Linked DNA regions of Arabidopsis thaliana. The protein of the gene in region 1 interacts with the protein of each later gene in a pairwise test. Each region holds a gene or a part of one and is shown in the gene's direction. Other genes may lie near its edges. The genes, in order: AT4G30940, GSTU2 and AT3G13227.

The links.
Region 2: the proteins of AT4G30940 (region 1) and GSTU2 interact in a two-hybrid assay, tested with the Arabidopsis thaliana proteins (one large-scale study listed by BioGRID).
Region 3: the proteins of AT4G30940 (region 1) and AT3G13227 interact in a two-hybrid assay, tested with the Arabidopsis thaliana proteins (one large-scale study listed by BioGRID).

Annotation. Positions count from the first base shown.
Region 1 is NC_003075.7:15,052,339-15,057,445, forward strand, and holds AT4G30940 (BTB/POZ domain with WD40/YVTN repeat-like protein), read left to right. Parts: upstream 1-2,534; 5' UTR 2,535-2,810; coding exon 2,811-4,136; 3' UTR 4,137-4,607; downstream 4,608-5,107. Other genes in the region: WRKY32 (WRKY DNA-binding protein 32), read right to left, coding at 21-179, 265-920, 1,242-1,297, 1,390-1,570; FAD6 (fatty acid desaturase 6), read right to left, coding at 4,940-5,104. UniProt on the Arabidopsis thaliana protein: May act as a substrate-specific adapter of an E3 ubiquitin-protein ligase complex (CUL3-RBX1-BTB) which mediates the ubiquitination and subsequent proteasomal degradation of target proteins.
Region 2 is NC_003071.7:12,629,224-12,633,329, reverse strand, and holds GSTU2 (glutathione S-transferase tau 2), read left to right. Parts: upstream 1-2,008; 5' UTR 2,009-2,097; coding exon 2,098-2,418; coding exon of another isoform or gene 2,419-2,423; intron 2,424-2,591; coding exon 2,592-2,948; 3' UTR 2,949-3,132; downstream 3,133-4,106. Other genes in the region: AT2G29500 (HSP20-like chaperones superfamily protein), read left to right, coding at 1-51; GSTU1 (glutathione S-transferase TAU 1), read left to right, coding at 970-1,290, 1,384-1,737; AT2G29485 (uncharacterized protein), read right to left, coding at 2,356-2,423, 2,599-2,740; GSTU3 (glutathione S-transferase tau 3), read left to right, coding at 3,840-4,106. UniProt on the Arabidopsis thaliana protein: May be involved in the conjugation of reduced glutathione to a wide number of exogenous and endogenous hydrophobic electrophiles and have a detoxification role against certain herbicides.
Region 3 is NC_003074.8:4,255,449-4,259,372, forward strand, and holds AT3G13227 (serine-rich protein-like protein), read left to right. Parts: upstream 1-2,433; 5' UTR 2,434-2,579; coding exon 2,580-2,915; 3' UTR 2,916-3,200; downstream 3,201-3,924. Other genes in the region: AT3G13224 (RNA-binding (RRM/RBD/RNP motifs) family protein), read left to right, coding at 38-143, 238-407, 634-1,173; AT3G13225 (WW domain-containing protein), read right to left, coding at 3,480-3,563, 3,652-3,769, 3,865-3,924.

The DNA of each region.
Region 1 (5,107 bases):
ATGCGTTTAGTTTTCTAGACCTTGGATGAGGATTTCCTTTCACCATTTTCTGCCCGTATTTACGCCACCTGTATCCATCACCACAGATACCAACATCACCAGCTGCGTGTACTACGAATTTGTTTTTCTTTCCAGGTTTGGAGACAGAATCTGAACTCTGTGAGTTATCTTTTTTCAGTCTGAAAAATAGAGAGAAGAAAGTCTATTAATTTCATCTTTCAAAGTGAAGAGTAAGCACCGAAATGCAAAATTCTACAAACTTGCCTTCGTTTTGGCTCTGGTTCCTCCACAGCTTCGTTCTCACAGTGTCTTTTCCGGTCAACGAGTGTTTGCGACTCACAGATGTATTCTTTAGTAGAAGCAGACGGATCTGAACCGCTAGGAACAATTGATAGCTCTTCTACTACTGTATCATCCTCTGAAACAGGCCGGATAGCTGTTGTAACTCTAATCTCTCTCGGGGAGAAGCTAGTCTTCCGGGGAGGTTCATGAGTATGTAAACCTTTGTTAACAATCTCTACCACATTGCCTGAATCATTGGAGCATTCAATTTTTTTAGCACAACATTCAGTGTATGTACACCTGTAGTAACTCCGTGAGCCCTTGGGACTCTTAACCTGCTTCTGTCCATATTTTCTCCAATTATAACCATCACGAGCCGGTGTCCTAGGAACAGGAGTAACCGACAATCTGTTAACCACCGGCGAATCTGATCTTTGCTCTTGTTTAGTTGGAACTGAAACCAGTGGTAAATCTTGTGCGGTTGAAGCAGTTGCAGGATCCAAAGATAGACATGGCGTCACTGTCAATGAGTCTGACGATGCAGCCAGAGAAGGAGATGTTTCTACCTGACGATTCTCTTCCACTTCATCAACCGGCACAATCGCACTTACAACAGTTTCCTTGACGCTATCAGTCTCCTGCCAATGTGATACAAAAAGCAGTTAAATGTCATGCCTTGATAACAGTGATTCTTGTCCTCAGAATTGCCTAAGAAATCAGACACACTAAAATGTAACAGATCAAACTGATACAGATACAGATTGAACTTGGCCAAAGGTTAAAACCATTACGATTAATCCTATTCCCATGTTATTGTATAATCACTGAACGAGTAACATCGAAGACACTGAAATGAGTTAAACTTTACAAGTTCTAGCACAATCAATGTTAATGAGAGAATCAAAGTTGTAAGTGTTAAGAAAGTTTATGAATAGCAGAAGAGTCTGAAGCAAACTCACATTCACTTCTAATACATCTTCAACATTTGGTTCCACAGAGGAATTTTCTCGAACACCTGGTAAACTCAAACATCATTTCGTCAAAAAATAAAGTCTCGAATAAATAAATAAAAACCAATAAAGAATTTTGCGCAGAATAAACCGTTACCTTGAACCTGATCCTTGCCTAGGGTTTCTCGCACAGTCTCATCATGTAAATCTTCCATATCCGCACCAAGTGATTTTTCCTCGTCTCTGAATTGACTCAGTCCGTCCTTCTCCGGCTCCACTTTCTCGCTCTTCTCCACCGTGTATGTCTTAGCTTCGTCGATACCAGTGTCTTCTTCCATGGACGATTCTCTCTTGTCCTCTTTTTCTGTATCTCGTGGGTTTTGTCTGAAGAGAGTAAAAGAAAGAAACGAACAAATTCTCTAGGCAGACAAAAAGGTAGCCGCTTTCCGACCGACTGATCTCCGGAAGAAAACGCTGCGTTTTGGTCCTTTATTATGCCTTCTCTGCTTTAAAAGCAAAAGAAGAAAGAAAAAAAGATACCAAAAAAGAAAGAGAAAGAAGGGGCATTAATGTCTTTCAGTCTTTGTTTGACTGTAGATAGTTAAACCAACTCCGTTTATTTCTCCGTTAATCACCCCTGCGTCACGTCAAATCATTGACGTGTTCCGTTTAGTTTACTATGTAAAATTTATCTTAAGACTATCTAGGATGTTTGTTTGTTTATTATCATGTGATGTGGTGATAAATAGCATAATGAATATGGTCAATGTTCTACGAATTTTGATATATCAAAGGTAATTTTTTGTTGTGTTGATCCATCTAGTTTAGATCATGACTGACCCCGAAAAGATTAGTACAGTGGTAAATTACTTACTTTATAGAGGAAACAACTGCAAGAAAAGTGGAGTTTGTTTTGCGTTCTTCCAAAATAGTGACTGAAAGAGGAAAAACATATACGTACTTTAATGTATGATAAGACTCAGCACGAAAATAGCAAAATATTTCAATGGAAAAAACGAAATTGTTTGTATTCTTCATTTTCTTCAGGGCTTCTAATGGCCCCATTTCAGCATACAAAAAAAAGGATATGTTAATGGGATGATATCTATCTATATGGGCTTTAGAAACGTTATCATGGATCACGGTATTAGCTTTGAAATTACACGAAATCTCGACCGCAGGATAGACGACAATATCTAAAAGCATCTGACGGTAGTAACACGAGTATTGTCTCTAGTAGGTCCCACCATGTTCCAGTTGGGTTTCTTACGTTTTAAATGCCCGAGCAACGGAAAAATGTCCGAGACCAAGACAGATCGTTTTATTTTCTCTTCTGGGAATCTCAGCTTTTTTTAAAAAAATATCCAGAGTCCAGATCATCGTATTCAATTTGATTAATCATAAATCAGATTTCATTTCGTTATCCTTTCCCAGGATTCAATTTCTTCGAATCCGATCGAATTTCGAATATTTTCAATCCGAGTTCGAGCGTTCATGGCTTCCTTGTCTTGTCATTAATGCTTTTGGTTCGAATCCATAAAAATCATTGATTTCACCTATTTTCAGAAATCAGAAATAATGGGTTTATCAAATGACAGGATCAAATTCAACGTTGGTGGCAGAATCTTCGAAACGACAGCGACAACGCTCGCTAACGCAGGTCGCGATTCCTTCTTCGGAGCATTATTCGACGAAAATTGGAATCTTTCACAACCCGGGGATCTCTTCATCGATAGGAATCCAGATTGCTTCGCTGTTCTTCTCGATCTTCTCCGAACAGGAGACTTAAACATCCCGCCTAATATCCCGGAGCGTCTCCTTCACAAAGAAGCAATGTTCTACGGCTTAATAGACCACTTACGAACCGCAAAGTGGGGACCTTTCGACGGTAACAGACTCCACCTATCTCGTTCCGTCACCGGCATAGCTCCTGGAGACGGAACGGCGATAAGAGCTGGTCCGGATGGTGGATGCTGCATAGCTCATGGGAGTGTCGTCCATGTCTTTGATTGGATGCTTGAGGAGCATCCAACGATTAATCTTGATTACCAGAGAGTGAACGATGTTGGTTGGATTGATTCTGGTAACATTGTACTCTCTGCTTGTGAGAGATTAGGAAGAGGAGATGGAGGAATGGGATTGTTTAGCTCATCTTCTGGTGAGCTTAGGTATAAGTTTCAGGTTAGTCATGATAATCAGGTTAAGAGTTATAGTGCTGGAGCTTTGAGTTTTAGTCCTGATTCTAAGATCTTTACGAGCTGTAAAGGAAGAAGTAATGAGTATGGGATTGGAGTTTGGGATCAAAGTACTGGAAAGCAAGTAGATTTCTTTTACGAGAGTCCTGGTTGGTCTTTAGGAGATGCTGATAAGTTGCAATGGTTGAGTGGTAAGAATTGTCTTCTTGTAGCTACTTTGTTTCCAAGGAAAGATAACTGTTATATTAGCTTGTTGGATTTCCGAGAGAAGAACATGGTCTGGTCTTGGTCTGATATCGGATTTCTTACAATGGCGGAAGAGAAGAGAGTGAGAGACGCGATAGCAATGGAAGAGAGCAATTCGATATGTGTGGTGAATGAGTTTGAAGATCTAGGGTTTATTGATCTGAGGATGGATGGAGGAGGGAGTAGTGTGAGGTGGAGTTCTAGGAGCAGGTTGATGAAAAGCAAGATGCCTGATGAGCCTTGTTACCCCAAACTTGCTTTGCATGAAGGCCAGCTCTTCTCGTCTATGAATGATTCCATCTCTGTGTTTTGTGGATCAGACTGGGTTTTGACTTCTAGGTTGAAAAGAAGCTATGGCGGCTCCATTTGTGATTTCTCTATTGGTGGGGATAGGTTGTTTGCATTGCACAGTGAGGAGAATGTGTTTGATGTGTGGGAGACTCTTCCTCCTCCCATCATCTGATTTCACATTTTGATATCTTGAGCTTAGTCTGGTCTGTTTCTGTTGCTTCTGGTTTGCTTCTTTTGTTAATGTTTTAGGGTTGTTAGAAAATATATAGGATGAGAGAAATAGCAATAGTCAAGAGAATATAAACATAGAGAACATGATCATAGACTTTTGTTAGGATTGATATTAATACGATTTTAAGTTTCCAGTTTCAGGTTGTGTTCTGTTTTGTCCTTATATGACTCTTTCTCAATGTAAAGAATTAATCCTCTTTTGACCTTTAGCTTTAAGCTCCTTTCATGGTGGTGTGAACTGTGACCACAGTCTCAGATTTCTAAAGATTTGATGATTCGCTCCCTTATTTTGGACATGTGAGTGTCTTTTGTTGGACAGTGAATGACTTTGTCTTTCCACTTTCCGTAAAGAAGTCCCAAGAATTTTGCTTTAGCTTTCTTTTCTCTCTTCACTTTTTCTTTTGGCTTTTTTCCCACGACTTTCTCGGAAATATTGCAGACACAGTAAGAAGATGATGTTTATATCTTCAAAGATTCTCATCAACTAAATTTTCATCACATTACAGTACATTGCAAACTATATAGACTGTTCAATCTTCTTATAGCTAAGAAACTGATAAAAGAATTGCAATCGCTGAGATAATTTGACCAGTTTCTCTCTTCTGATAAGATTGGAAAGAAGATAACAGTATAAAGCGTTGGTGAAGTGTTAGAGAAGCTCATCGCTTGGAAAGCTTACATATAACATCGGCGACTGCAAAAAGATATTGAGATTTCAAAAGACTAGTTTGAGACCATGGCGAATCAGGCTGTGTAGTTAGGCATTGCTTTCTTGAGGAAGGTTATTGGCTGAGATTCTTCAGGGGCTAACCGGTCAAAAGGAATGTAGTTCTCCTCTTTGTCATAGACATGACACACAGTCATTATCGTCTTCATCAATCGCCAGTTCCATGTAGCCAAGTTTGTATACTG
Region 2 (4,106 bases), on another chromosome or scaffold:
AAGGCTGAGACTAAGAAGGCTGATGTTAAGTCTATTCAGATCTCTGGTTGAGTAATGGGTTCGAGTTTTATCATCGGAGTTGCTTGTGTTTTTGTCATGGTTATGGTTCATGTTTTACTTGAGTGTGTGAGTACTCTATCTAAATTATAATAATCTCCGATTGAGCTATGAATTATGATGTATCGGATACATTTGATCCTAATGAAGTATGGAATAAATAATAATTATTAACCTTTGTCTAAATTCAAAAGAAGTTTAACCGACGAGATGATTTCGCTTAGAGTTCGATTTCGGTTTAACTAAACCAAATCAACCGATACCGTGAATCAAGACGGAATCAAACCCAAAAACTGAAAAGGTTCACATTATATAAATGTTATATTTTGATTTAGATTATTACATCATTTCTTTCAAAATGATTAACATTTTGTTTGATAACTGAATATTTCTTCTGTTTTACAATGTCATTCATTTCAAATGTTTGGCAGACAATGAATTGGCCAAAAAATAGACTCTTCAAAACAAAAAAAGTTGTGTGTTTTACAAATACAGTCGATACATTAATCTCTCAGTTTTAAACTTTTCAACATATGAATCTTAAAATATAAATTGTAGAACGTAATCATTTGGAGATTTGTTATTTCTTGGTCGGCTAATTGACTGGAGATTAGAAACACTAAGTGTTGGTCAAATATCTTAAAACACTAAGACGAATGACGTTGGCAATGACGTGCATACCTTAAAATATAAATCAGTCCTTTTCTGGTGTGATCTTCAAGATATCCTTGGATACAAAGACAAAGAGAAAGCAAAATGGTCCTTTTATTTATTTGTTTATTTCACCACCCATAACTTCATTTGTGTATAGAATATAGTAAACTCAAGTAATCAAGCAAGTAAACGAAACATAAAAAAGAAAAGTAGTGCAAGAAACAGAGGAGTTAGATACCAAAAAGTGAGAGATATCGAATGGCGGAGAAAGAAGAGAGTGTGAAGCTTCTAGGGTTTTGGGCAAGCCCTTTTAGTCGTCGAGTCGAGATGGCTCTCAAACTCAAAGGCGTGCCATACGAATACTTGGAAGAAGATTTGCCCAACAAGACCCCTTTGCTTCTGGAGCTAAACCCGCTTCACAAGAAAGTTCCGGTTCTTGTCCACAATGACAAAATATTACTCGAGTCACATCTGATTCTCGAATACATCGATCAGACGTGGAAGAACAGTCCAATTCTTCCTCAAGATCCTTACGAGAAGGCCATGGCTCGATTTTGGGCCAAGTTCATCGATGACCAGGTATACTAATATTGATTTGCAGATTAATTAGTTGATTCTATGCAGAACAATATTATATTATTCGCTTGTTTATATATTGTTCTTTACTTGCAGATCCTAACACTAGGGTTTAGGTCCCTTGTAAAAGCAGAGAAAGGAAGAGAGGTTGCTATTGAAGAGACTCGGGAACTGCTTATGTTTCTTGAGAAAGAAGTCACTGGAAAAGATTTCTTCGGTGGCAAGACAATCGGATTCTTGGACATGATCGCAGGAAGTATGATCCCATTTTGTCTAGCTAGACTTTGGAAAGGTATTGGAATTGATATGATTCCAGAGGAGAAGTTTCCGGAATTAAATAGATGGATCAAGAATTTGGAAGAAGTTGAGGCAGTGAGGGGATGTATTCCTCCAAGAGAGAAACAAATTGAGCGCATGACCAAAATTGCAGAGACAATTAAGTCTGCCTAAATTAAAGATACTTCTTGCCTACGAAAATATTTGATTTATATGCTTGCATCGTTTTTTATTTATATTTTTATTTTTTAAAGTTTTTCGAAAAATAGAATGACCTAATATTTAAGTAAAAAGATCAAAAACCTATTTGAAAGTTACAGCAATCAAATAACGTGGTGTGTCTGGAGATTGTAAAAGCCAAGACTAGAAGGAAATAAGAATAAAATAACCAAAGTGACCTCAGCAGTGACTTGGTTACCTTACTGATGTCTTTTTTTTTTTTTTTATCTTCAAGATAAGCTTGAGAGTTGAGACTACAAAAAAAAGCACAATATTGTTTTTAAAGTGACAGAGAGAGTCAGAGAGAGAGATCTAATGGCGAAGAAAGAAGAGAGTGTGAAGCTTCTAGGGTTTTGGATAAGCCCTTTTAGTCGTAGAGTCGAGATGGCTCTCAAACTTAAAGGCGTACCATACGAGTACTTGGAAGAAGACTTACCCAAAAAGAGCACTTTACTTCTTGAACTAAATCCGGTTCACAAGAAGGTTCCGGTTCTTGTTCACAATGATAAATTATTATCCGAGTCACATGTGATCCTCGAATACATCGACCAAACTTGGAATAACAATCCAATTCTACCTCACGATCCCTACGAGAAGGCCATGGTTCGGTTCTGGGCCAAGTTCGTTGATGAGCAGGTACTCTAGTCTAACTAATTAAATTGATTTATAATATTGATTGCAAAATAAATGAGAAACACTTGAGAGTTATTAGAAGTTCATTACATTTCAAGCATTTATATCAGGATTATTTGTAGGATAAAGTAATTTTCTAAGTACTTTTTTTTATAGATTGGTATAATAACTTGCAGATCCTACCAGTTGGCTTCATGCCCCTAGTAAAAGCAGAGAAGGGAATAGATGTTGCTATTGAGGAGATTCGAGAAATGCTTATGTTTCTTGAGAAGGAAGTCACTGGAAAAGATTTCTTTGGTGGCAAGACGATCGGATTCTTGGACATGGTTGCGGGAAGTATGATCCCGTTTTGTCTTGCTCGGGCTTGGGAATGTTTGGGGATTGATATGACTCCAGAGGATACGTTTCCAGAATTAAACAGATGGATCAAGAACTTGAATGAAGTTGAGATCGTGAGGGAATGTATACCTCCAAAAGAGAAACATATTGAGCGTATGAAGAAAATTATAGAGAGAGCTAAGTCTACGTTCTAAATTAATGATAACTTCATAACTCTGTGTTCTAAAATAATGACTATGTGCAGCTTGTATCGTTTTGTTATTGAAAAATTTGAAACAAAGAATGAATGTAGCTGCATTGGTAGTGGAAATCAATTAATGGGTGCAAAGTGAAATGTTGAAAGCTACCTATTATAACTATAATAACAAATATTGATTTATGGTTTAGGGAAAATAAATTGCAAAGATGGTAAATCTAAGTTCGATAGGATGATGAGTTAATTTGTTTCATGATGTGTGGTATTGATTACATGATGTTTGATAAGAAGTTAAGAACATTAACGTATGGTTGGTTAGTATTGGTTTATTGTGTATTGTTGGTTAGTATTTCAGTTTAGTGATATTCTGGTTCTATTAGTCTATCCAATTTTGTATTAGCATTGGTAACTCAATTTCTTCAAGAAATGAAATAACAAATATTTAACATATCTCTCCAAAACTAATACATCGGAAGTGAAAGATGAAAGACATGTTCAAAGAATATTTATCAAAAAAAAAAAAAAGAGAGATGGTCAAAGTTAGACATAAATATTGACTTTTGAGGATTCTTAATATTTTGAACACATGCTGAAATGTTTAGGCGTGAGGATAAATGATGAACACATTTGAAAGTGACGGCAATGATGAACAACTACCTTCTAGATGTTCTTGGATGATACACATGAATGATGTACATACATTGAACTTGTAATTAAGTGTTCCTCACAACTCTAATTAGAAAAGTATGCTTAATTATTGGAGTAAATGGCCTAAAAAAGACTTTTCCTTTTCCTTTATGCCTTTATAATCATGCACAATTTACATGAGAGTATATATAAAGATTAGTTAAATAAAAAATAAAAAAGAGGGAAAGAGATTGATTATTCAATGGCCGAGAAAGAAGAGGGTGTGAAGCTTATAGGGTCTTGGGCAAGCCCATTCAGTCGTAGAGTCGAGATGGCTCTCAAGCTTAAAGGCGTGCCGTACGATTACTTGGACGAAGATTATTTGGTTGTCAAGAGCCCGTTGCTACTTCAACTCAACCCGGTTTACAAAAAAGTCCCTGTTTTGGTTCACAATGGTAAAATATTACCCGAGTCACAACTGATCCTTGAATACATCGACCAAACATGGACAAACAATCCTATTCTACCG
Region 3 (3,924 bases), on another chromosome or scaffold:
CTTGATCAATACTTTTTTCCTTGTTTTGATGGAACAGGTTGAGATCAAAAGGACTATTCCGAAAGGTGCTGGTGGCAATCAGTCAAAGGACATCAAAACAAAGAAGATTTTCGTTGGTGGTATACCCTCAACGGTTACAGAAGGTAGACCTCCCTCTTGGCATGATATTTTTTTGCTTTCCATGAGAATGCTGGTTTCCTGTCCTTATTGAAGTTGGTTTCTTTTTCTGTTGATCAGATGAACTTAAGGACTTCTTTGCCAAGTATGGGAACGTGGTGGAGCACCAGGTTATTCGAGACCATGAAACAAACAGGTCCAGAGGTTTTGGTTTTGTAATTTTTGATAGCGAAGAAGTCGTAGATGAATTATTGTCCAAAGGAAACATGATCGATATGGCAGACACTCAGGTAAGCTTGTACAAATGGGGATTAGAATTTTGGTTCATGATGACATATTTATCTTGGTTTCAATTTGATATTTTCTCCTTGTTCCTTTCATTATACACGTTTAACTTAGTTAGAATTCTACCCACTAGCTTACCAAATGTAAGGAGCTTGTCACAGTAAGATAGGAAATCCCTGCTATAGTTTGGGTCCTTAGCATAGCTAGGTTAATTAAGTTGCTTTGTTGTAGGTGGAGATCAAGAAAGCTGAACCAAAGAAATCTCTAAACCGTTCACCTCCTTCTTACGGTAGTCACCCTAGAGGTCGTTCTTCTAACGATAGTTATGCAAGTTATGGTGGACCTTACGGAGGTTTTGATGGAGGGTATGGTCATCCTCCAGGTCCCATTAGGTCACATGGAGGTCCTGCTAGTAGATATGCTGGGGGATATGGGTATGGTCGTGGCAGTGTAGGCCCTGAATTTGGAGGAGGTTATAATAATTATGGGGGTGGTAGTTTAGGAGGTTACCGGAATGAACCACCCCTTGGCTATTCTAGTCGTTTTGGACCCTATGGGAGTGGGTTTGGTGGTGAGGGATATGGCCGTGGAGGAGAAGGAGCCTATTTGGGATATCCTCGTGGAGGAGGGGAAGGCTATGGGGGATATGGTGGGCCTGGTTACGGCGGTGCATATGAATCTGGTGGCCCAGGTGGCAGTTATGAAGGAGCAGGTGGTCCATATGGGAGGGGTTATAGTAGCAGTAGTCGATACCATCCGTATGCAAGGTAGGGTCGAGGTAATAGCAATCAGTTGGAGCTATAGAAGCTTCTCTCACAGGTTCCTCTAGATTGTTCCAATTGCTCTAGGTGCATTCTAGAGTTATCATGTAGCGCCAACATCAGGAAGGGTTGCTAAGGACAGGAAGAGCATCAAAAAGCTTTTATTAGTCATCTTTTAGTTGTGTGTTTACCTAATTTAAGTGTTGTCTTATCTCTATAACTTAGATTGTGTTATGTAGACTTTAGCATATTTGGGCTTGGAGTTTGTTTCTCACTGGCACAAGAATGATTTATCATTTGGTAGTCTTGTTAGATGATCAATTACTCGCTTAGCTTAGTTTTCACAATCATACGAATTAGCTTAAGAAGCTCTGCAAAATGTGCACTCATCTATTCTTTAGAGCTCAAGTTGAATGCTTTATGTGGTCTCTTGTATCTCTGTACATTTTGTTGTGCTGAACAAAGGTTTGACGGCAGTTAGTGCATGTGTAAGTAGGCATATTTTTGTCAGCTGCATACGTAGGTTCTAGCTACAAATTGGAATTGTATGTGTTTGAAAACGTAAAATCAATTATAAATGTTTTTGAAAATCATCTATACAAGCATGGTTATTTGGTTCTTGTTTCCTTATTTTTTCGGGTAAGGGCCACGGATAATTGGTTAGACATTGGTTCTAATAATGTGGGTTTTGTTATCTGTAATTTCTCGTCAAAATGATGTACTGTATCATTAAATGAATATCACTTATTGTACATGCTTTTATAAGTTAATTGAAATCCAAACTCTTTTACGTTTTAAGTGCAAGGATTGAATGATACAAACAGCAAAGAGACAATTCTAAGACAAAGTTTTCAAAAATTTATGACGACGAATGTGTCACACGTACGACACATTAAAAAGAGTTGACAAAAATACATAATACATAAAAGGTCTACCCAATCATAGTTGATAATCTTAATTAGTGATTAAAACGAAGGTGTAAAGTGTAAACATGATTTTAATCTCAATGCTTTAAGGCCGATCTTAGCAGTAGAGTAAAGTGTAAACGAACGTATTGTTTTTACACCTAGAATTTTAAGTTCTGAAATCCATTCTATCTATTTTTGAAATGCAAAAACGATTTTCCAAAATCTCCATATATTTTGTTTGGTCGATTCCAAATCTCTCTATTTAATTGACGATTTTACTGCAAAGAAAACGACAACCTCGGATATTCAGAACCGCAAAGAAAGGACACAAAGGAAAATCACTATTTTTAGATACATAATGTTTACATTAACTTCTCTTTTATAACTCTACAAATCTTTTTTTCTTTCACCAGTTTCACAATTCCGACTATTTTTTAGAGTTTTCTCTATTCGTAAAAAGGTAGAGAAAGAAACACAGAAGAAGGGGAAGGAAAAAGAAAAAACACAAATGGAAGGGAAAGAGGAAGAAGCAAAGAGGAGGATGATGATGAAGATCAAACTTAAGGAGACAGAAGCAGACGTAAGCCAAGACGACATTAAAAGACAAGAAGCTTACAACATGTCTCCACGCGTACGTCGTGGTGGTGGTGGTGGCGGTGGCTCGGTAGGTATGAGCAAGTCATCGAGCGTGAGGCAAAACTGTTTATGCGCACCAACTACACACCCTGGCTCCTTCAGGTGCCGTTACCACCGTCGTAACGCTGGACTCGGGATGTCTCGTGGCACATCCGTTCCCTCTAACCTTTCCATGTTGGCTGGTGGAGACTCTAATTCTCCCAAGTGATGATTAATATATATTATGTGTTTCTTCTCATCAATTTAAAATTCTCGTATGTGTCTGTGTATATACAAAAATGCATAAGTCGAGAAATCTCTGGATATTCACTTTGCTGTTTGCACAAATGAAATAAATTCAAATGATCGTGATTTTTGTTTGCATCGGTTAAAAGTACAAAATGCGCCAAGACCCGCCTAGACGAGAATGCTAGAGAACAAATCATAAACCATATAGTTCAGCCGGCAAGGTTGGATTTGTACAACGTCTATGAGCACCTAGTCGGCGCTACTCGGTCGTTTTAAACATTGTGTTTGGACATATGGAGAAATTGAGTTTCCAAATCTTGTCACTCAATACAAGTCACGTTAGGGAATAGGATTAAGGGAACAAATTATAGTATTACGTTAGCATTGGGAAATGGTAAAATGATATTTTCTTGATTTAGCTTTGTCTATATGTCACCAACACTAGCTCTGTAATAAATTTACATAAAGGTAAGATTAGAGAATCTAAAACAAATGTATCACAGAAGAAATTGTAAAAAATGTGAGACGAGAAAGCAATTGAGGTTCAGGTAGTGGGTCGTGTCCAACTGGTTTGAGATGTACTCGTATTCCCATAGTAAACTTTTTTGGTAGATTCGTCCCAATATGCCTACAAGAGAGATAGTCAAGTGACAATGTTTTAGCAACTGCGTACTCATTTACAAATCAAACGCTAGTGGAATGGTGAAACTTAATACCTGCCATTCCGACGGGAGATTTGCTGAGAGTTTTGTTAGATCAGGTTTTTGCTGCTTTTCGGGGTCTTTCTTCTGAGACTTCTCAGCTCGTTCTCTCTTCCGTTTCACTTTCTCACGCCTAATCACATCATACAACCAGATTTAACTAATTAAATCATGTTTTACTGGGAGAGGAGATAAATAAATGTTGGCATTACAGAGAGAGTAACTAACCAGTCACCACCCAGGGGTTGGAAATTTGCGTTGTCTTTAGCCTCTCCACTTGCGATTTGT